Daphnia pulex: one gene and its partner. The protein of the gene in region 1 purifies or fractionates together with the protein of each later gene. This does not show direct contact. Links are inferred from orthologs where the notes say so. Each region holds a gene or a part of one and is shown on either strand. Other genes may lie near its edges. The genes, in order: retinoblastoma-like protein 1 and transcription factor Dp-1-like.

The links.
Region 2: the proteins of retinoblastoma-like protein 1 (region 1) and transcription factor Dp-1-like purify together in Drosophila melanogaster (affinity purification with western blotting; 4 studies listed by BioGRID, with this or other methods). This does not show direct contact. The link is inferred for Daphnia pulex from reciprocal best matches to the Drosophila melanogaster genes Rbf and Dp.

What each region holds. Positions count from the first base shown.
Region 1 is NC_060018.1:8,627,659-8,639,179, reverse strand, and holds retinoblastoma-like protein 1, read left to right. Parts: upstream 1-4,514; 5' UTR 4,515-4,752; coding exon 4,753-4,893; intron 4,894-5,081; coding exon 5,082-6,441; intron 6,442-6,506; coding exon 6,507-6,643; intron 6,644-6,704; coding exon 6,705-7,029; intron 7,030-7,086; coding exon 7,087-7,361; intron 7,362-7,433; coding exon 7,434-7,613; intron 7,614-7,696; coding exon 7,697-8,170; intron 8,171-8,240; coding exon 8,241-8,576; 3' UTR 8,577-9,205; downstream 9,206-11,521. Other genes in the region: kxDL motif-containing protein CG10681-like, read right to left, coding at 3,381-3,442, 3,520-3,719, 3,803-3,948; sodium/bile acid cotransporter-like, read right to left, coding at 9,861-10,406, 10,560-10,592, 10,669-10,856, 10,997-11,168, 11,430-11,521.
Region 2 is NC_060023.1:5,712,968-5,724,325, forward strand, and holds transcription factor Dp-1-like, read left to right. Parts: upstream 1-5,947; 5' UTR 5,948-6,179; intron 6,180-6,239; exon of another isoform or gene 6,240-6,494; 5' UTR 6,495-6,649; coding exon 6,650-6,707; intron 6,708-6,784; coding exon 6,785-6,882; intron 6,883-6,949; coding exon 6,950-7,251; intron 7,252-7,310; coding exon 7,311-7,473; intron 7,474-7,533; coding exon 7,534-7,764; intron 7,765-7,826; coding exon 7,827-8,078; intron 8,079-8,137; coding exon 8,138-8,374; 3' UTR 8,375-8,967; downstream 8,968-11,358. Other genes in the region: WD repeat-containing protein 44-like, read left to right, coding at 2,068-2,195, 2,283-2,593; F-box/SPRY domain-containing protein 1-like, read right to left, coding at 4,099-4,284, 4,343-4,474, 4,538-4,635, 4,706-4,944, 5,065-5,168; mitochondrial import inner membrane translocase subunit TIM14-like, read right to left, coding at 10,170-10,388, 10,475-10,603, 10,679-10,681; dnaJ homolog subfamily C member 3-like, read left to right, coding at 10,896-10,986, 11,065-11,358. UniProt on the Drosophila melanogaster protein: Component of the DREAM complex, a multiprotein complex that can both act as a transcription activator or repressor depending on the context. In follicle cells, the complex plays a central role in the site-specific DNA replication at the chorion loci.

The DNA of each region.
Region 1 (11,521 bases):
AAAGTCAAAGTCGCTAGAGTGACAGGCTTGTGATGCGGCCGTATAGGATGAGGTTCAACCAGCAGACTCATATAGTAATTAAGATATCGATACTGTGAAGCGTTAAGACCGGGAGGATACCGTTTAACGGCAAACATTTGTAGGGCCTCTTCGATAGAACGAAATAACTGAGTGTAAAGAAAGAGTGCTGCTACAACCACTGCCGATGATGCCTTTCCATCCATGCAGTGAAGAACACAGACATTTTTAGTGTCGCGGTCAAGGTAATTATACATGCTCTTACACAAAGCATATCTGAAAATTGCAAAAAAAAAATTCTTCAGAAGTTGTCTACAACAGGATAAATACTGAATATGTACAAAGTTCTCAATGAAGGAGCTTGTCGCTGGGGCCAACCACAACAAATCAAGTTGTTGAACTTGGTGGATGCATACGAACGTCCTGAAACATTGTAGACTGCATAGTGAGATCCATGGCGAGTGTCTAGAGCATTTCGCACATCGTCAATGTGGTGACGATAGGCTGACTCAATTCCTTCAGCTGGAAATGAGGTAACAATCAATCGCGATGTAACGTAGCTAAGATCAAGCTCTGACCGTGCCATGCTTTGCTGCACTGTTTGCATGACTTTAGTCGATGTATCCTAGAAAAAGTATGTAGATTTTCATACTTAAATATTTAAAAAAAGATGAAAATTCTACCTTCAAGTTTTTAAAAAGGCTCCCCGCTCCTCCTTTCAAGGATGATAATAATCCCATCGTAGGTTGAGAAGATGTCGTTGAATGCATAGATGGAGCAGGGTGAGTTGCGATATGGTGTAGCTGATTAGCTATTGGATTTGGTGGTGGAGGTCGACGAGGTGGCTGAGGTGATGACTGGGTAACGACAGATGCACTTGGGCGGGCAGAAGGCGGTGGCATGGCTGATTGACTGGGCAAATTCACCTTAAGTCCACATTTCATTTGGTATCCTCGCGTTTCTCCAATGGCTGCTAGACGATCAAGTACCTCACTTATAGTTAACCGTGCACGTGGATCAACCTGAGGGGGGAACAGAATATATTATATTTCTTTTAAAATACTTGCAAATCATTATAAAATACTTTTAGCATTCCACGGATAATGTCATGGAAGATGTCGTATCGACCGTCATTGCTAGGCAACGAAAAGTTGCCATTAATGATTCGTAATTTGGCTCCATCTTCAAAAGGGTGCGTCTAATGATAAAATATTTATCTTAAACTATCGCTGCACCAGGAAAATAGTGTGCTTAACCTGATAGCATAGAACATAAAGTACACATCCTAAAGCCCATATGTCTGCCGCGGTCGTGATAGGATAATTGCTCCAAGTATCAATCATCTCAGGAGCACGGTATACTGGTGTAGTATGTTTAGCCATCTCTTCTTCAAGCAAACCCCGTTGAGATGCCGTCCAATCAGGGCCAGGAAAATGTCTATAAAATATATTCTATTATTAGAACAAGAAAAAAAAGCTAATAGCATAACTAATCAATGGTAATTCAGGATGAAGAAACAGTACTAAGGAAGGAAGATAAAAATGACCAGAAAACAGTAAATGGTGAACAAAACTTACTGCTGGGTTGTAGCACTCCCAAAGTCACACAATTTGATAACACCATCAGCAGTGAGGAGCAAATTTTCAATTTTAAGATCTCTATGGATTATAGGTTGTTCCAGGGTGTGAAGGGCTTGAACAGCTTTACATGTTTGCCAAAATACTGAACTAACTTCTTCTGGTGTTAATGGAGAGTTTCGTACTCTCAATGCATCAAACAAGGCTCCTCCTGTAAATATAACCAATACAAAATATACATACATATATTTTTTATTGGTAAAAGAAACTGTACTGATACCTGAACAAAGTTCAGTGACCACTAAATATTCTTTTGAACCTCCTCCTCTATCATTACAGCAGGCAGAAATAAAATTGATCACATGAGGATGACCAGCTAGTTTTTTCTGAAAAAATGATGTAATAAAACTAAGGACTTTGAATGCATGTTATTTGAAACAATCTAATATCAAATTACCAAAAATGCTACTTCCTGTATAATGCTTTTGACAGCATCGGTATCAGCTGCAATGAGTCTCTATTAAATTGAATAATCAGATACATATTATAATAGTACATGTTAAATTTAATTCTATGGTCTTGTTTCTATATTACTTTCAAAGCGTAATCTTGATTGCTCTGTACATCTTGGGCAATAAAAACAAAAGCATATCCACCTAAGATTGGCCATAAGTTGTAAATAGTTAATTCATATGAAACGTGTAACAACGAAATCACCTTCTCCAATTTGACGTTTTATCCGAAGCTGCACCGAATTGACATTGACCATAGCTCCAATGAGAGGATTCTCAGAAGCGCCATTGTTACTTGCTGTAAAATAGTTAGCAGCTGACTTTAAAAAATCGGCCATTTAGAGGATGAGGAGGTTGAATAAAAAACTGAAAAAGAAAAAGCACGAAACCACGAAACAGGTCAACTGGAATTGTTAATTAAGTGTAAACGTGTTTTCAACAATTGAATACTTGCAATTTATTTTTGACAGCTAAACAGCGTTGCTGCCTGCCTGCGAATTCGTCTTCTCGTCAGACTCTAGCGGCAGACTCACGACCGCCCTTCCCGCAAGGCCGCAACTCACCCAGTGATAAAGCTTGGAATTATTGGTTATTACCCTTCCTTTCAGACACGCGCTTATACTGATGATATCTGAAACCATTGTTTTAAAAAATTTAGCATATCCTTTTATATTTCGTAGTTTCGTAGTTGTAATAATTCTTCTCACAACATTTTTGCTAATAAAATAACAGTATAATATGGCCTAGCTTTTTTTATGGAACTTTATGACATTAAAAATGTTTATTTTTCTATCTCCTGCCGATCTATATTTATTCTTATTATTCTACTAATTACAAATAATTCCATTGACATTAAAATCGTTTGCCGTTTTGGGTTCCATAACATACATAGGCCTAATTTCAGAAAATAACATTCAAATTTGTTTGAGAGCTACAAAAATATCATTCGAAACAGAGAGCCGCATCATTGGTACATTAAAGAGTATAACATTTACGAAACCTCTGTTAAGACTAGAATACATAAAATTCGACAAAAATAATCCCTAGCCTTAGTGTTTCATTTTTATCTTAGGAAAGTAGCCTACACGTATATAGGCTCCGATGCGCAATACTATGATTTTCAACAGCACCTTTTCCGGCTGTAAATATATGCACAAACTATCAAAACTGACGATGTTATATTTTTTAAATAATGACTGATTGAAGTCTTCAATTATATTTCTAACATTTAAACACAAAATCATGAGTGCAAGCCATTTTCAAGTAGTGTAGATTATACATCCTTTGTTTTTTCATCCTCCTCTGCTATGGGTGTTTGAATTTTACTTACAGCATCTGTTTATCAAAACAATTATTTTGGATAAGCTTAAAAAAAAATAATTAAAAAATGTATGTATGCAGTATGAACTAGCCTTCAAATTGATGTGGGTATTGAGATGCTGCTTTGGCTTTCATGATTTTGATTCTCTTGAAGATATTCTCCAAGTCCTTTTTTACTTCATTCAAAAGCTGTGCATGCTTCTTGAATTCTACATTAGCCTTTTGAAGGTGAACTTGGGACAGAGTATTACAGTTGACTAGCATTTCATTTGTCTTTTCAAACCGTTGAAGCCTATACAAAGTCAAAGTAAGAAAATGATAAATTTAAGTATAGTGTGAATAGTATGGAGTTTACTTGAACTTCTCCAAAATTACATTTGTTTCTGTGCCCGAATTATGTGATCAATGTCATGTTGGTTAGTGAACCCTGCAAGACCTTGAACAAAAACTTCAGCAGGAGTGAAATTTGAAAAACACTCGAAACCTAGTTCACTTTCATGCATTGACAAGTAATTCTCCATTGCCTGCACAAAATTAAAGTAAGAATATGATCACAGAAAGGTTCAGCTTTGAATAACCCAATAATGTTACAATAATCAAACAATAAAATTCTTAAATCGTTCTTAATCCATTCAAACGCGCTCATCTATTTTACCTAACCATCAAGTCATCAATATTAGTCAAAAAAAGAAGCTAGACAGTGCTAGAGGCTAGAACCTAGACAGCAGTGACAGTCAGAAAGAGCAGACAGACAAACAATTAAACCAAATTAAAATTATTATTATTCATTAAAATAGCCAAGGCCTGGGAATATTGTACACAAAACGTGTTCGGTGAAGGCATCTAGCGGATGCTACATTACTAAGATTTTCAATAGACAGAAAATTTCCAACCGTATCCATTATTAAAATCAGAACATGAATTAATTTTAATTTTAATTCCTTGCATCTTCGTAATCGTTCAGTTCGTATCTATGTGATTTATATGGCTAATTAAAAACTGTCTGGCCTTTTTATGTATGTCTCCATACAGCTGATTTCATTTCGCGCCAAATATTGGTTGTGGTCCCCACCCCAGATCTTATTCACCGCTAGAGGCTCTGTTCAGCAAGAGGGCGCAAGGGCCAGTCTGGAGAAAAACTGGGAATTCCCGCCACGAATCGCCGAGTGTAAGCTTTGTGTGGGTTTTTTCTACGTCTGATACAGTGGGCTGCAGTTTGTGTTACTTGTGATCTCCGGTTTTGCGTCCGATGTAGCTGGTTTCCGTTATTAATAAGCATAGCTACTCTACTGATTTAATAGTTACTGGCTTATTGACTACTCGAAATGGGTCTGTCTGAAGATGCCGACCAAGAAAACACTGAGGAGAGGTTTCGCGGCCTTTGTGCCGATCTCAACATTGACAAAAACACAGCCGATGAAGCCTGGCGAAACTATGAAACTCTTTCCACCAACTACACTCTTGAGGTAAATCTGCAATGCAGAGTTAAGAGATTAACTTGTTACTGGTCTGTTATCAGTTATTGTCATTGTCTGGTGGGTTGTGTCAGACAAATTACACCATTTACAAGCTTAGCAGTAATTACAATGCTGTTGACGGCAGATTTGTTCCTAGTTTCCCCATGGTCTAATCTGTTTTCTTTTTCTTTTGTTAGGGTGATCGAATCCATTGGCTATGTTGCGCCTTGTATGTTGCTTGCCGAAACAGCACTGTTCCAACTGTGGGACAAGTTGGAACAGTAGAGGGAAACTGTGTTAGTCTTACTCAACTCAGACGAAAATGCAACATCAGCATGCTAGATTTCTTTGACAAATCGAGGAAATGGGCAGACATGGCAAACCTGTCTGAAGAACTACGTCGCAAGTTTGTTAGCTTGGAACGTAACTTTGAAGTCTGCTCTGTGATTTTCAAGAAGTATGATGAGATGTTCAAAGAAATCTTCCAAGATCCGCTTAACGACCCTCCTAGACAGCCACGTTCTCGGAAGTCACGCAAACTTCCTTGCTCTGCAAAAGATGTTTACGACTTTTGCTGGGCTTTCTTCGTACGCATTAAGACTAATTTCTCACAGATCCACGAAGAGCTAGTCAGCTGCTTTCATTTGCTACTAGCTTGTCTTGATTACATCTACGGAAATTCTCTTGTTGCCAATCGCCGAGAACTCTTCAACCCTCAATTTCCTGGTCTGCCTAGCGACTTCCACAGTCGTGATTACAAAGCCCCTACTGAACCTGGCTGCATCGTTGAGTGTCTTTACTCAAGAAACAGCAGCCAGGACGAAAAAACCGTTGTTGACGTCAAGCGAATCAAAACGCATGTTCTCAGACCTTACGTGAAAAGCCTCATCGAAAAAGAGGTACTGAAGGGTGACAAAAGGACTCTATGCGGAATTCTTGACACATCTGTCTTTGACTTAAACAAGAAAGTGGTCAACAATGACTATGAGGATTACGTGCATCGTGTCGGCGATTTCGACGAGCGTATTTTCTCCAGTCCTGATGCTCTAACAGAGATAGGAACCCCGGTGAAAGCCACTTTCAACAGTATAGCTTCTTTCGAAGAACAAAAGCTGATGGTCTACCCAGCCCGCCGCAATTTGCAATCACAATTCGATGGTTCACATCACCTGGCGCTGGCCACGCCTTTGACCGGTCGAAATTTCCTCAAAGCCAAAGAACCTGGATCGGTAACGCCCGTATCGACAGCCACTCAAAGTGTCAGCCGGCTGCAGGCTCTGGTCTCCGGTCGTCAAACGGGACCTAGCGAGGAGCTCAGACGTATTTTCAGTGAGTGTTCTAACAATCCAGGGGAGAGTATTCAAGCCAGGGTTAAGGAAATGGGCGAGAAATTCTGCGCTCACTATGTCAATCAGGCCGATGAAGGGCGCACTAATGGTTTCAGTATGGATATGGCTCGCAAACGTCTGCAGTTAGGAGAAAGCCTGTACTACAAGGTTTTGGAAAAAATCATCATCGACGAACGCAGACGTCTCAAGGCAGGCACAGATCTATCAGGTACTAAATCTGAATTTTATTTTCATTTCATGTTTCACATTGTATTACTCTTTTTTTTTTGTCAGGAATTCTACAACAAGATATGCTTCATCAGCTTTTGATCACTTGTTGCCTAGAGATTGTTCTGTTCTCTTACAACTCCCAGCGCACATTCCCATGGATCTTGGAAGTCTTTCCTATTCAACCTTTCTACTTTTATAAGGTACTTAACATTATTGCCGTCATTATCATGCTCATTCAAAAGAAATCTTGGTCGGTTATAGGTAATTGAAGTACTCATTCGGGCTGAAGATTTATCTCGCGACGTAGTAAAGCACCTAAATCACATGGAAGAGCAAATTCTCGAATCTATGGCATGGCGTTACCAAAGTCCCTTGTGGGAATACTTAAAGAGCTGCGATCAACCCATTCCTTCTTGTGAAGAAGTTTCGCTACCAAGCCAACTTCTGCCACCAACCCCTTCTGCTCCGCAGACTCCGGCTGTCGTCCAGTCATCAGATCCAGTCAGAAACACTCCGCAGCAGCCAATACCTTATTCGCCATCGACTTACGTCACCAATAAGAGAGCGGAATCTAGTCTTGCTGCCTGTAAGTACAATATATTATCAAACTTTGATCTTGAAATTGAATGTTGCTTGTTACTAGCTCTTCTGCAATCACCCGTGTCATCGGTGGCGTCAGTAAATGAACGTACGCCAGCCCAATCGTCAAGGAGGAAATTGTTTCCCGGGCCTGAAACAGTTCCGCCAAGTCCCTCTAATACAGCGGCTACTCCTGCTTCTGTTGGCAATGCAATAAAGGCTTCTTCCAAACTGGAATTAAATGATCAGAAAATGGAACTTCTGCCCAGTCCCAGTGTGGTAACAACGGCTGACAATAAACCTAAGAGAACGGGATCCCTGAGTCTATTTTTTAGAAAGGTTTGTAGACTTCTAATGGCTGTTAATATTGCGAGATAATTCAACAAACTATTTTAATCTTTTTTGTTGCAGTTTTATCATTTGGCATCCGTTCGGCTACAAGACTTGTGCAATCGTCTCGAGTTGTATGAAGAAGACTTGCGTAAGAAGATCTGGACATGTTTCGAGTTTTCGGTGATGAAGCATAGCGATTTAATGCAAGATCGTCACCTTGATCAAATTTTGATGTGTGCAGTCTACGTAATTTGTAAGGTTAGTTGAATTCTGGTGCTATTCTCTAAAGGGAGATTAAATTAGATTTTAAGACTTGGGTTTTAATTATTTTACTTGTTTAGGTAACTGGTAGAGACAAGAACTTTACCGATATTATGCGCTGCTATCGAACACAACCCCATGCTTCGAGTCACGTATATCGCAGTGTTTTGCTATGCACCAAAGCACGCCGTGGATCTGCTTCGTCTACCTCAGGTTCGGCGTCATCAGTAACCGGAGGTAATCATCCTTCGACCACTCCAAGTCCTTCTCCCAGCGAAGAAGACGATGAAGCAGCTACTGGGTCTACTGTTAAAGTTAACGGTGACGAAAAGAAAGCTGAAACCAATGGAGAGAAGGCACTTCCACCAGTTCGTTCTTCGTCGACATTGCCTTTCCCTCAGCCTTCGTCCTGTCCACCTACCCCGACAGGTTTAGCTGGCACCTCATCCAGCTTCGAGTACGAAGATCGAGGAGATTTGATTCTATTCTACAACACGGTCTACGTTCGTCGACTTCAGGCCTTTGCTCTTAAATTCTCAAACAGGAACCGTCTGGTAGTGCATTTTAATCATTCTTTATTGCTAAATATCAAGTGACTAAATTTTTGTTTTATTCCCTATATAGGAGTCATTGCCCTTGTCGCCTTTGCCTTTACAGCGCCCAGTTCCTGTTTCTCCGCGTCGAAAAGTGTCTGCAAAGCATACGGTCTTTATTAGTCCGCTTAAAGGCAATGTCATCTCTCATTCGCCGCTGCCTATGCGTTATAGCTTTAATCGTAGCCCGTCGAAAGATCTTCAGGCCATCAATGCCTTTTTACGCGAAGAGCGTCCGACGAAACGCCTGCTCTCCTACGAGATTGGTCCACGAGACGCAGCCGACGCTGCTATGGCTCCACCTCCGCCCAAATTCGCCATGACAGTCGAAAACGCCGGTGCGGCGCGCAAGATCTCTTTTCATTGAAGGACATGTCATTGACACTTAGCTGCAACCTATTTCGCTTGATTTTTCTGACCCTTCTCCCTCGTCATCTGGCTTTGATTCCCCCCTGCGTTCCTTTTCCCCTTCGTTTTCACTTTTCTTTATCTCAACTCATGCATCTGAACAGATTAACACTACTTTCCTTTTTCTGGTTCATCCTCCCTCAACAAAATAAGAGAGGTAACCAACCTCCCAAACTATTTGGTCTTGACCATTCTTCTTTTAATTTTTCCCCAATTTTTTGTTATTCTCAACCTTATTAGTAGAATCACAAAATAGGTTTTTTTCTGATTTTTTTTTCTGATTTTTTTTTCTCTTTGTTTAATTGATTGTGGAATTTGTATTGTCATGTTGGCTATGGGTCGGTGTTGAATGTTAATGGAATGGTTTGTGTTGCTTGACTTGAATCATATGGAAGTGAGATATCGGTGATGAGTACGAACGTTGAAGTAGCCGCATCAACCATCTTGGGGAAATTGCAACGTTTTTTTTTTCTAGTTTCACAATCACTATTTCAGTTTTGAGATTTTTCCCATGAGACTTTTGAGTAAAAGAATGTGTAGTAACTTTGTTTGGAGCATAATTACAAACATATGGCTTTCAATATTTCACATCTGTATGTAATCTTATTATTCATTTACAGGACCTCTACTGGTTAAGGGCAATTATTTGTTTGTAGTGCAGATGAGTGTGTTAAAATATCAACGATAATAGTGTACAGATGAGAAAACAAAACATTTCCAAGCAAGCGCTTGGAAGGGGAATATTAAACAGGTGAACCATAATCATTAAAATGTTTCGATTAGGAAAGTATTTGCAATCGGATCGTCACCGAGTCTGACAATTTGATTTCAAAATGTTGCGAGTGTTTCTGCCGTTGCGTCAATGAATAATTCTGTTTGAACAACTTTTACTGATTGCGCCCGCTGACTATCTGTGCGTCGTTGGTATTGTAGATCACACGACTTTAATTGACCAATGACTGACTTTCAATGCTCAGCTGGATTTGATATCTAATTTAAGATAGTAATGAGGGAAAACAGACTTAAATTTGTGTGTATTTTGTTCAAGCGCGTGGGCTGTTTTTTGTCGTTTTACACAGTTACTCACTTGTCATGGGTAAATTTTATTCGGGTAATAAAGAAAAATAAAATAAAAAGGCAGATGGGTAACGCAAGGCAAGATTTCAACGAGACAAGTCTTCATTTTCTATAACAAAACATTATTTATTTATTTATTTATTTTTTGGCTATATATATGGTGTCATCAAGCGATAATTCTCGGATCGATGGTTGGCGAACTAGGCACAATGAGACTTGGTCGTTTTGCCCATGAAAACTCGGGAGTAACTTGTCCACCGTAGTATTGTGGAGGTGGCGTTTCGACTTTTTTGGCATTTCCATTGCTGCCATCAGTGTAATCTTTTAGCATCAAGGACTTTGTGGTTTCTTCTTCCTCTTCGACCTTTTCTTCCTTTTTCTTGCAGCCACGGTTCTTAACGCATCTGTATGCCATGATGATGCCGAAAAAGATGAACAGGATTGAAGTTGTCATCAAAATTTGAGCAATCGCCGGCAGGGCAGCAATGTCGCTGTACGGAGTTGGAAGAGTCGTCTTGAGGAGAACAAAGGCTATATTGGCATTTTGCATGGCTGTCTCTAATGACACAGCGATAATTTGTGGTCGACCGAGTCGCGTTATCCAAGCGAAAAAGGCTCCAAACACGAAGCCGGCAACCGTGACCGCCAGACCGGCGGTCAGTAAAGTCCAGTCCAGGAGAATGAAGATATGGGACATGCTGTAGAAACCCAGCTGTCAATAGCCAAAAATGAACTTTGATCAGGCATTTTTAGATTTTGATGCCGTTATCTTTTACATTGCGTCAGGTCACAGTAAGAGTAATGCATTAAATCGAATTTTTTTAACGCAACAATCAATTATCCTTAAAAGTAAAGAATGACTTACCCCAAAAATGAAAAATATGAAGAAGAAGGAGAACTAGAAAAACAAAAAAAATGAAAACTGTATTAAATTTAATTCGCCCCCCCCCCCCCAAAAAAAATTAACTACTCACCGGTTTGATGATTTTTACGGTGAGAAATTCGGCAACAGAAAGCTTAAATCGACGAATCAAAAGTCCAATTCCGAGTGGAACGGTTAGCAATATTAGCGACACGGCCATGTCCAGGAAAGGCACCTGCACGGACGATCCCGGCGGCAGGAAAAATGGAGACAAAAGCCACAACCATAACGGCATCATCCCTGCAAAAGAAAACATAATTTTACGAAATTCAGCCTAATGGAAGGCGATGTAATTAACAATAATTTGTTACAAATTTATTCGTCGTTAAAAGTGTTTATCGATTTTGCTGTGTCTATCAAATGAATGGTTTAATACTGACCCATGGCAGCGATGGAAGAAACGAAGGTCATGGTAATGCTAAGATTAACATCACCATCTAAAAGCAGCGTCCAAAAATTGGAGGCTATACCGCCAGGACAGACGCCGATTACCAACAGTCCGAAACCCATCAAAGGATCCTTAATCATCAGCATGGCAATGCCGAAGGCAAACTTAAAAAAACAAAAAAAAAGACAAACGCATCAGCAATAATTTAATTGATTTCCCCTTATTTTGACATGGAAATAAATATACGTCATCAAATTGGTCAGTAGAATTTCGAAACCTATTAACGTAGTTGTGTACGCACATGATATCGGATCTAAGGTACGCAATCGTTAAAACGTAATCCAGATCAACAAAAATCAAACACAGATTTCTTCATTGTGTGCTTTGTATTTTGTTGACTAAGTCAAATGATTCAATACACTCACCAGTGGCATGAAAGTAAATTGAGAGATGAAGCCGACAATTGGTCCAACCGGGCGAAGAATATTTTGTTTCACAATGGCCATATCCAGGGCAC
Region 2 (11,358 bases), on another chromosome or scaffold:
GTCCGACATTCACACGAGGAAACTGTATAAGACAACGAGGAGAAAAAGGCAGGCTTATTTTTTAGGAAGGAATTATATTTTGCTTGGAAGTGAATTCCTCCTTCAGCCCCGTTGCATATGCGGGCCAAACATCTGCTGTTTCTTTTTTTTCTCCGGAATTATGGTTTATTAGTTTACAGCTACTGTATAGAAGGCTTCGCATGTGTCTTCTTTTGTCATTTTGTAATCAGCTTGGAAGCCGGTATAACATTTAAGGCAAAATATAATCTCCGTGTACTTTATGTCAATGGAAAAGCTACATATAATTATAAAATTTTGCACCCATGGGTTCATAATAGTCTTGATAATAGTTATGATTCGTCATCCGCCGAATTTATATCAAAACATAATTTTATTTTTTTCCTGGCATTTTTGGTTTCACCGCTAGCCGATTGGTGTGAATTATTGATCATCGTAGGAGTTTCCTATTTGTTAGTCACCAGTTGAATGATAAATTAACGTTCGCGAATTTCATGTAATTTGATTCTAGTTTTTTACCTACCTTTTGTGGAGTGCCCTCGTATTTCTTCAGTGGAGTACGAGGTGTTCCTCCAAAATCTTCCGCAAAACCAAAATATTGCGCTGCGCGTTTTAAACCATCTACAATGGCATTCTACTCGAAAGAAACCCAAATCTTTACTTTCTTCTTAATATGTTACATTTAAACGAAAAAGTGAACATTACTTCTTTGGCTTGGATTTTTAGAATGGTAGCCATAGATGATAGACCTTCTGCATAGCCAGTTCCAATGTCTTCATGATAGGTACCATCTTTCAATTCCATCCGAATAATGGAATTAGCGATTGCGGAATAATAACCGTTCGCCGTTTCTTGGGCAGAGTCTTTCAAAGACATACGTAGTAGATTGTATTGCGAATAAAATTGAGAGATTTGTCGGAATTTACCTATTTCCAATTCTTTGATAGAATGCTTCCATCCATCTTTCCCGTGCATCTGATTGAGTTTAGCCATAATCCGCCCTCGTTCGTCAATAAATCCAAATGTGTACCACGTATCAGGCCCTTGTAGGAGAATGTCTTCTTCCAATTTCCACACATCCCGACCTCGTTGTTCGGTGTCTTTGAGAAATTTGACGTTTGATCTCAGACGATCTGTATCAAACTTTAAATAACATTCAATGCGTATGGCCTCCGGATGCAACTCCAAAAATATCTCGCTAAAATTTGATCGGCCGCCTTTGTTGTTCCACCAAATACGATTTCGACCAGACTCCGGTGCCAGTGAAGTCAAATAAACACCCGATCCGTTAACATAAGCCGTTTTGGCATTGGACTGTATAACTTTGCCGTCCTTGAGAATTTTCCTGAGGTTGTCGTAGTTTGTGTAGTGGTACAAATACTGAGGCGGAGATTCCACGCTCGGCGTGGAAGTACTTGGTCCAGATGGCTCCTATTGTTGAATGATCCAAAAGTTTAATTAATTACCAAGACTTGAATAAATTAGCATAACATTTCTATAGTTAAAAAAAACTCATCTATTCCACAGTTAATAGTTATCTCACTTTCAATCGCTGTAGCTTATCTTCTCTAGTTTTCTTATCAAACAGTCGTGACACGGAACGCTGAAATATGTGTCAACGTTGCCAAATTCTTTCATTTTAATTCGTACCGCTAAGTTCGTTTCTCCAGGGGTATGGACTATGGAGTCTCTCCATACCCATGGTCTCTCTAAGCCCATGGTTTAAGCCGGACGACACGCTAATGATAAATTATTTTCAGCGGATTTTACTTTCTCTAGAATGTTACATTACACCGTAGGTCTATCCGTCTATGGACTATGATTGTATAACATTCTTTGGTATGCATCCCTATTGACTAGTGCGTATGACGTCATAAATCGTCAATTCGAAGGGGGGGGGGGGGTCCGTAAAGATTTTTAATAAATTATGACATCCTAGACACACTGGACAAAATGAGCCCTAAATTACGCTTCAGTTTCTTTTCTTTTCTTTTTATTTTCCGAAATGAAATGAATTTAATCATTTTCTATGTTGTAATTGAATTTTAGTCACGATGGCAAGTACATCATTAGCGGTTCAGAGAATCAGTACATTTACATGTGGAAGACACATCATGATTACGCCAAATTCTCTTCGGCTCGTCGAGATCGCAACGATTATTGGGAAGCCATCAAAGGTACTATTACCTAATCACTACCATTTTCTTGTAAATTAATTCTCTTTCAAATTGAATAATCGACTTTTCTGCATCTATTTACGACAGCGCACAATGCAGTGGTGACATCGGCCGTTTTCGCACCTGATTCGCATTCACTGATTGAGCAAATGGAGCGACATCGAAGAGAGAAGGAAGAGGAAAAAGCTTCCTCGTTATCAGGAGATGCGTTGATGGGTCGGCGATTAGCGGGATCGGCGACAGCCGATGGAGCGAAACCAAACTCAAATGTGGAAGGAGGAGCCTCTTCCGGCAACGGCTACGTTCTTGTCAGCGCGGATTTCAACGGCTGCATTAAAGTGTTCGTCAATCGAGTCAAACCGAAGCATAGTTCTTTGCCCGTTTCTGCAATGTCCTAAAAAGAGAAAAATAGTCGAACGGCTTGGAAAATTTCAATCGACAATGTAGTCGTTCTTCTCAGTCGACGTGACGACAACAGATAAATATGGTTCAGTTTGGAAATTATGAAATTATCGCGCAACCCAAAGAAACTATATAATAATTTAGCATGCCCATTCATTTATGGCAATGAATACACGCCTCCGATTATCGAGTGCGTGATTATTTAATTCAGAAAACTCTTCCTGTTTGAACCGCTCTTCATTTTTGACGCTAGATGGTAGAGGCATTCAATGTTGTCCTTTCTTGCGGATTGCCATTGGGCAGCGCAACAGAATTCCCGTCACAAGGATTTTTTTTTTTTTTTGGTCGAAAGTAAATCGACGGAAAACGTGTTTTGTTGGTCACACAATAGAATATCCAATCCACCTACCTTAGGGTTTGGAACCCCTAAGGCGATGTACAAATAGAAATTGAAAATGGGGAGGAAATGACCAGCTGTCTTTGCTTGTGAATCGAATAGAACTGAAAATTCCGGTGGTACATGACACTTACACTTCGCTTTATGAGGTTGATGAAGGTCAACGTACACAATAAACCATAAAAGAGGGGACGAAACTTTCTTTGATTTTGACCTATTTTTGGAATGATATTGCTTTTGCGCTTTGATTAATTCAACATGCGAAAAACCATTAAAGCCTTTACTCGATCGTCGTTCGATTTGATGAGCGTAATGGAAATACAGTTAAACAAACTTTTTTGTTTGACCTTCAAGACAGTTTTTGACCAATATGTTGCTAGAAATCTAGGATCCAAGTGCCCATCAGTACATTTCTCAGTTAGAAGCGTTAGAAGAGAAAAAATCACACATGAAGTAGTAATGAGGCTAGAAAAAACCTAAACGATCGAATCCATTCGTATACGATGGTAAATGTAGGAGTACTTAGAAAACCTGATTCCTTACTCATTGGTTAACACCTTTAAGTGTTTGAATAATGCTTATTTATAAAATTAAATAAAGGCAGTGTAGACAAGTCATTTTTCATTTATTCGAGTAATTAAACACGAATTAGATTTTTTTATTCAAAACGCCAAACTTTGGGCAGTAAGAGGTTCAGTTATTCTTTAGCATCATCACCAGTCCCAAGTCATACAAACATACACAGGGAAATTTTAAGTTATACAAATCTATTTCGCAAGTAGCAGTCAGACCGGACGATTAACCATTTGTTGGTTTTCGGTTGAACGTGAAAACACAACCACACGAAATTTGAATTGTAACACACTACAATAATCTGACACACACCAGGGAAATCATGAAAAAAAAAAAAATAATAAATAAATGAAGAATGGGAAAATACGGGAATGTTTTAAGTCAGAGCGGTATTCCCAACGCAACCTTTGTACACTGAATTTTGGGATTCTTTTACAACAACATCCTTTCTTGGTTGGCAAAACGCATTTGCCTGTAGAAATTGATTCACACAAAGAAATTTTCTGTTTAGGAGAGGGGGACAGGCGACAGTTAGCCATCCAAGGGAGGACCCAGGTAGACCATTGAGACTTCTGTGTGCCCATAGACTGCCGACACCGAAGGGTATAAGAGCTTCTCTGGTAAGCCCCTAAACGCCACTCCGAGGAATTCATAGTTTCTTTCGAAAGCTAATGTATTGTCATCACAGTCAAGAATGACTCGTATCCGCTCCCCAACCTGCAACAAAACTTTAGGTTAGGTTGATTCAACTCATTCATTGGTTAGACTCAATCACTTGGTATTTAGGTGCATTGTTCAGCATTGGGTAATTGCCTTGGGAATCTCCATTATGAAGTAAATGATTATCAACCAAATTCCAACCCCAACTTTGGTCATCTGATCCTAGTAAAGCTATGTATCCATGTGTCTGTGAACATGGATTTTGACAATTATTTTTAGATAAAATATTCAAATTTTAACACAATTATACCTGGAGAGTTGCTTCTTTAGTTGCAATTCCAACAACTGCAACTGTTCCAAGAGGACCTTCCCACATCACTTCCCAGGCATGCCTACCTTGACTGAATCCTGCACAAACATTAGTTGAATGGATTAATATGTACACTTGCAACAGGCATCTACAATATTTAGTACTCACCAATTTTACCTCTCACAGCATCTGTACTCTGTGCAACAGGGTTTCTGTGTATGGTAAAACCATTGGGTTTGATATAAATGTTTCTAGAGCAGTCTTCTGGGTTCCAAGCATGGTGAAATGCTTTTAATTTTGTTTTGTAGGTAGGAGCGGAAGATAGGAGGTCTGAGCTCAGGACTTCTTCTGCCAGTTTTCGTATGCAGTGCAGTCTCCAGACATCATTGTCCTCATCATTCAGTATACTGATTCAAATAATAATGTGCAAGGAGAACATAAGTTTCAAACAATCGCTGGTTTTGTTAGCAACGGTAGATCACTAGCGAATAGTCACAAACTGGTGTTGATTTCAAGAAAACTTGTACCTGTACCACCGTTTGCACACCAACGAACTGCTTCTTAAATCCTGCAGCGGCAAATATGAGAAAATATTTCCTAGTATAATATCTGGTAGTATATCCACGTGCATTCTAAACGCCGGCTCGCAAACACTTCAACATTCATTTAGGAAATTTCTTTCGATTTTTTCTGCAATTGACAATACTTCTATGGCAGAACCGGTGTTGCCACATTGCCATAGCAATTGATCTGAAATAAGAAAACCGAACAAAAATTATGAGAATCTAAACAACTTGATAAAACACTGAATTACACCTGTGAAAAAACGATATATTAATATCAAACTACTTTTTTACTAGTTTTTAAGATAAAATAATATTTTAGTTTATGTTTGAAATGGTTCCCGCGTATCCGGAAAAGCAGACGACGTTTGATTTTACTTAGCCTTCTGATTTATGATTTCATTCATATTCATGCTCGATTTCAATAAAAATTTAACGCTTTTCCCATGAAATTAATCAAATTAGCACTTAGTTATTACGATACATTTATTACGATAACTGTATTAACAGCCAAATTAAAAAAATAGACCAATTTAAAAGAGCGAAATAAAAAAAATATATTTCAGAAATTAATAAAATAAAATAACGAAATCGCTGAACACTTGCCTGCGCTTAATTAATTTCCTCTTTCTCCTTCATGTTTTAGCGCTACTTAGTATTTTACATGAATATTTGAAAAAGAGAAAAGGAGAAATTAAACGAGCAAGGAAAATCGAAAATCATTTGTTCATATTTTTGTTCTCACCCAACGACCCAAGGTCACGAGTTTGTTTGAATTTCGAATTTCTGCCCGTTGAAAGTATCGATTTTTTTTTCATTGCAAATTGCGATAGATAGAAAGCGAACTCATGGAGAAGTTAGAATTGAATTGAATCCCAGTCTCATATGACGTACATATAAGACGCTCACTCAGTAAACCCCCCGGACGAAAAAATAAAGAAAAAAAAAATATAATAAAAACTAAGCCGTTGGCCTGCTGTGCCATCATCACCCCCTCGTGCATTTTTGCCTAGCTGCCTGCTGATGCTACAGCAGTGTGTGTCTAGTGACGATCGTATAAAGTTGGCCCAGAACCTTAGGTAAACCCTATTGTCTCTTTTGTTTTGGATTGAGGGGATTTTTATTTTTTATTCATAAAGTGAATTAGATAATAAAGGAGGATACTATTTGTCATTGAGCTTGGAAAGTTTAAGTGAAGATGTCTGCAAAAATCTTAAAATAAGGGGGAAAACTTACCGGTGTGGGGTATCGACTGGTGATGGCGTTTTGGGCGCCATTTCGCTCATCGTGTTCTGAAATCATTTGGAGGAATAAATACGGGGAATTTCCATTTTAGTCTATTTAGATTCTATCATAGTTCTATATGAAATTTGATGATATCTGTAATTTGACAGGAAGTTCGAATTATAACGGCGCTCAGTTGATCATACTTTTGGTCCCACCCACCAAAGATGCTTGTTTGACAAAACATTGTCAGCACATTGGATCTTCCTTGATCTCTTCTCTTTACAGTTAAATAATATAAATAAATTTACAAGAGGTTAAGGAGATGGCACAGTCAACCCCAACTGGAAACATCACCAACATTTGGATCCAAGATGCAAATGGTATGTCAAAGTCTAGACTAAGAAATTATCTCATTCTTTTCAACAAGATAATAAAATGATGGTTGTTTGCATTCCAGGTCAGCCACAAATGATAAAAGTGGTGCATGCCACTGCTGGAAAAGGTGTTCCAGTGTCCATGGCTTCTGGAGCAGTTAGAGCTGTTCTGCGATCTAATGTAAGTCAAGGATGTGCTTGAATAAAATGTAAAAGATGTTAACAATGTTGGCTGAAAATTTGTTTAGGGAACCGTTTTGGCTGCCACACCTCAGATGTTGCAGTCACTTGGCAGAGTGACAAGAGCACCTGGACCTCGTGGACAAGTGGCAGCTGGACAGATACTAGCCATACCATTATCATCAGGAAATGGATCTACTCCGAGTAACAAAAACACTGCTGTACAGTTACCAGTAGTGCCTGTTGTGTTGAGCACTCCTCAACGCTTAAATCAGCAACAACAACAGGGCAAAAACTTCATTTCCCCAATTCTTGATCACAGTGGTTCACGAAAAAGGCAAGATCCTGACCATGAACATGGTTCTGAGAGGTAACTTTTCATTTTATTTTTCAAATGAGTAGTTTTATGAGTAAACTCATTTTTAATAGTAAACGGCGTAAGGTAGACAAAGGAGGCAAAGGATTACGTCATTTCTCGATGAAGGTGTGTGAAAAGGTTCAGAAGAAGGGTACTACAACATACAATGAGGTTGCTGATGAACTTGTAGCTGAATTCACTGATCCATCTCGTTGCACTTCACCTGCTGACCAAGTTAGTATCGTATTAGAAATTCATCTTTTTATCAGTGAAATAATGTTAATTTATTGACAGTATGACCAAAAAAATATTCGGCGTCGGGTTTACGATGCACTGAATGTGCTCATGGCCATGAACATCATATCGAAAGAGAAAAAAGAGATCAAGTGGCTTGGTTTACCTACAAATTCGTTGCAAGAATTCCAGGCACTGGAAGCGGAGAAGCAACGTCGGCTAGAAAGAATTAAGCAAAAGACGCAACAATTGCAAGAATTGGTCCTTCAGCAGATCGCCTTCAAGAGCTTGGTTGTTAATGTTTTTTCTAGTAAAACAGAAACATTTTACTGACACGTCTTGTTTACCTTTAGGTTCAAAGAAACAAGCAAAATGAGCGTCTTCACGGTGGCCCTGCCAGTAATTCTACCATACAGCTACCATTTTTGGTCGTAAATACTAGCAAGAAAACAGTGATTGACTGCTCCATATCTAGCGATAAGATGGAGTATCTCTTCACCTTTGATGATACTTTCGAAATTCATGATGATATTGAAGTCCTTAAGCGAATGGGCATGGCCCTTGGGCTTAACGAGGCCACTTGTACTGAAGAGAATCTCGCCAAGGTATTTTTGTTCTTTTATTTTTAAAGTTTATCTTAATTTTTAAATTTTTCTCGTTTTAGGCCAAGTCTTATGTTCCAAAAGCGTTGGAACATTATGTAGATCAGTTGGCTAGCGGTCAGGCCGAGCCACAGTGGCCAGAGGACGTCAATCCTGTGGTTAAGGAAACCTCAGATCACTTTGGAAATCAAGGTGTTCGAGCAGTTACACCTACAGCGTCGGTCTCAACAGGTTTCTCAGACTCCGAGGATGACGATGTGGATGACGATGAAGACAACTCCGACGTGGAAATCAATTAAAGGGTGTGGTTCTACTGATGCGTTGTCTCATTGCGTCCATTTCTACTGTCGCTTTACATGCGGCTGTCCTCGCTGATTGGATGCATTTCTCTTCGCTTGTTCTCGGTTCAGTGTTTACCCTTTCCTTAGAACCTCCTTTTCAATGTCGCCAATTTAAGCCAAGTGAGAGTATCCATCGATGATTTTCGTGGGAATCTGAACCGCGTGTGTGTGTCTATTAAGATGACGGAGTGAGCTCTTGTCGGTATAGGAGACCGCATCGACAACTGGAAACATTGAAAACTCAGGTGATGAATATTTGCAAAAGTGCCTGTCGATGTATTTTCGAGTAGAAGTGAGGTTTCATTGTCGATAACAGTTTTCTTCGTTCATTTTTGTTTACCGTCGTACAAAAACAATGTCGTTCGTTATTTTCGTCTCTTAGTGTTCATATCTTGTTCATCCATCTCGTTGACACGAGCATGTCCGGGTGCATCAATAGTCTTTGCTGGCTATAAACTATTCCATTTCACTTTGCCCTATGATGGGTATTTATTGCAAACTTCACAACTGTATTACCTTACATTTCATGAGTACACATTACAAAAAAAGAATAAGAATAGTAGCAGTTAAGTTGTTATTCATTCTTACAAGAGATCATCATCATCACACAAGTCTACAAATCCTATGAAAAGAAAAATTTTCTTATTACTGAATACTTTGTAAACATGAGATTTTATCAAACCATTGTAAAAATCACCATGGACAGCCTTCTCATTTGATGTCAAATCAACAATCATTCCAGAGGGACCAGCAGATTGCTAAATTAACATTGATATAAACTTATTAGATATCTTAAAATGGCAAGTAACAGCTAAATTAGAATATAAAAGGAAAAAAGTTGGTATTATTAACATCGTGTTCAATTAATTGCTGTTTTTCCAAAAAAATTTGTATCTTTGTCTAGGATCTTTGTAATGCTATCAAATGATTTTCAGATGACATGTTTGAATATATTTTGGAATTGTAATATTTAACAAATGATTTGAATGGGAAATCAGTTTACTATACATCTAGACTAGATTTTTAAAATCAATTGATTAATGCTTACCTCATCTAGGTCCATGTAGCTGCCAGCACCTATGTATGTAAAAAAAATCCATAAAAATATTGGCTGTGGTAATCATCATGTTAATCACGATGGTGAATGGTGGACTACTAACCTTCAGGAAACATTTCATCAACAACTACATTTGGCTTCATTTTAATCACCGTGAAGTATAAACTTTAACTGACTGTAGTTAATTAACAAATGAGCCTTATTTGAAAACACTATTGGTGTTTCCTCAACAATTCTTAAGACTCTTGAGTTGGAGAAAGAATCCAAGAGCGACAGGACAATAATGTTGAAAAACGTATTTTCGTCTGTTAACTGCTAAGAAAAGATGGAACAATGTTGCCAAATCAAACGGTACCGATTTATAGCCTCGGGCATTTGGTATCTCCCCGTGGGCCCGTTTTGTTTCTCTTTATGTGTTCCTAGTGAAATGTAATATTTTAATTTTTGTTTTCTACATCTTTATGAGTATGTTGGAAAAAGTTGTAAAATATACTAGCTGAATCAATCATAGTAATTTTACCTGAACAGCAAACAAACTACATTCATCCTCCAAATTGCAAATTGTCTAAATGAATAATAATTGATTATACAAAACATACAATTATTGAAGCTGTTGACTCTTTTATTTGAACAAATGTTACTAAAGTTAGATTATTTACAATGAAATCTATAGTTCTCCCCTGCACAAAAGATGTTTTATTTCAAATTATCCATGAAATCTTTTGCTTCATTTATCTTAGCTGCTAAATATGGTGAGCCACCTCTATCTGGGTGATTTGCAAGCATTATTCTTTTATGGGCTTCTTTCACTCTGATTTTGTTGGCTGTTGGTGATACACCAAGTATTAAAGATGCTTCTCTTTTGGACATTTTGGCATCAAAACCACCTTTGTAGTACTTGCTTCCAAGAAGAGACTACAAAAAATATTTGAAAAAATGATAATAAGAACATTACCATAAGTAGAAAAATATCAACATTTACAATTAATTCTATCTAATACCTCAGTATCCATAGGAAACTGCTTGAGTATTTCGTTAAACTTCGTCGTCATTGTGGGAGCAGATCGAAGCAGTGTGCGACCAGCAAATCCGACAGCAGCCAGTCCAAGACCAACAACTATCGCTGTTGACTGAATTACATAGTAGACATTAATAGCAAAACTTTAGTTTCACTATACACAATAAAATTTACTTTGAAATATTACCATTTTTTCGTTCGGAGGACAAGAGGTTTCGTCACGTTTTTGTAATGTTGTCTGCTCTGTTACTCAATATCTACCCACGAGCTTGAAATTCTAAACAACAGATGGCTTTGTTTGTCACGTAATGTCTTCTGATTGGGCCACATCACAGACGATTATTCTATTATCAGTCTGAAGTGATCCTTGTGGCTTCTTAAAGCTCTTAAGTTTAAAAAATAGAATGATAACTTTAAAAATGGCTGATTGGGGCCCACATTCAAGACAAATGTATTCAATCTTAATTTGTCTCGTTAGCATCGGAATCATCGAAGGTACAAGCCGGTTTCTTCAACTCATGTAAATTGTCCTTGTGATTCAAACGTCTTATGTATTTATTTTTCATTATACAGTTCACGGAAACGCCAATCCCTCGGAAATTGAAAAGCATTTAGAGCTTGGTAAATTAATGATGGCTAAGGGCCAACTCCAAGATGCACTCACCCATTTCCATGCAGCTCTAGAAGGAGATCCTTCTAACTACTTAACATTATACAGAAGAGCTACTGTATATCTTGCCCAGGGAAGAGCAAGAGCTGCATTAGAAGATTTGAATCGTGTTCTTGAAATCCAACCAGATTTCATTCAAGCCAGAGCTCAGAAGGGAAATATCCTAATGAAGCTTGGGCGTTTGCATGAGGCACATA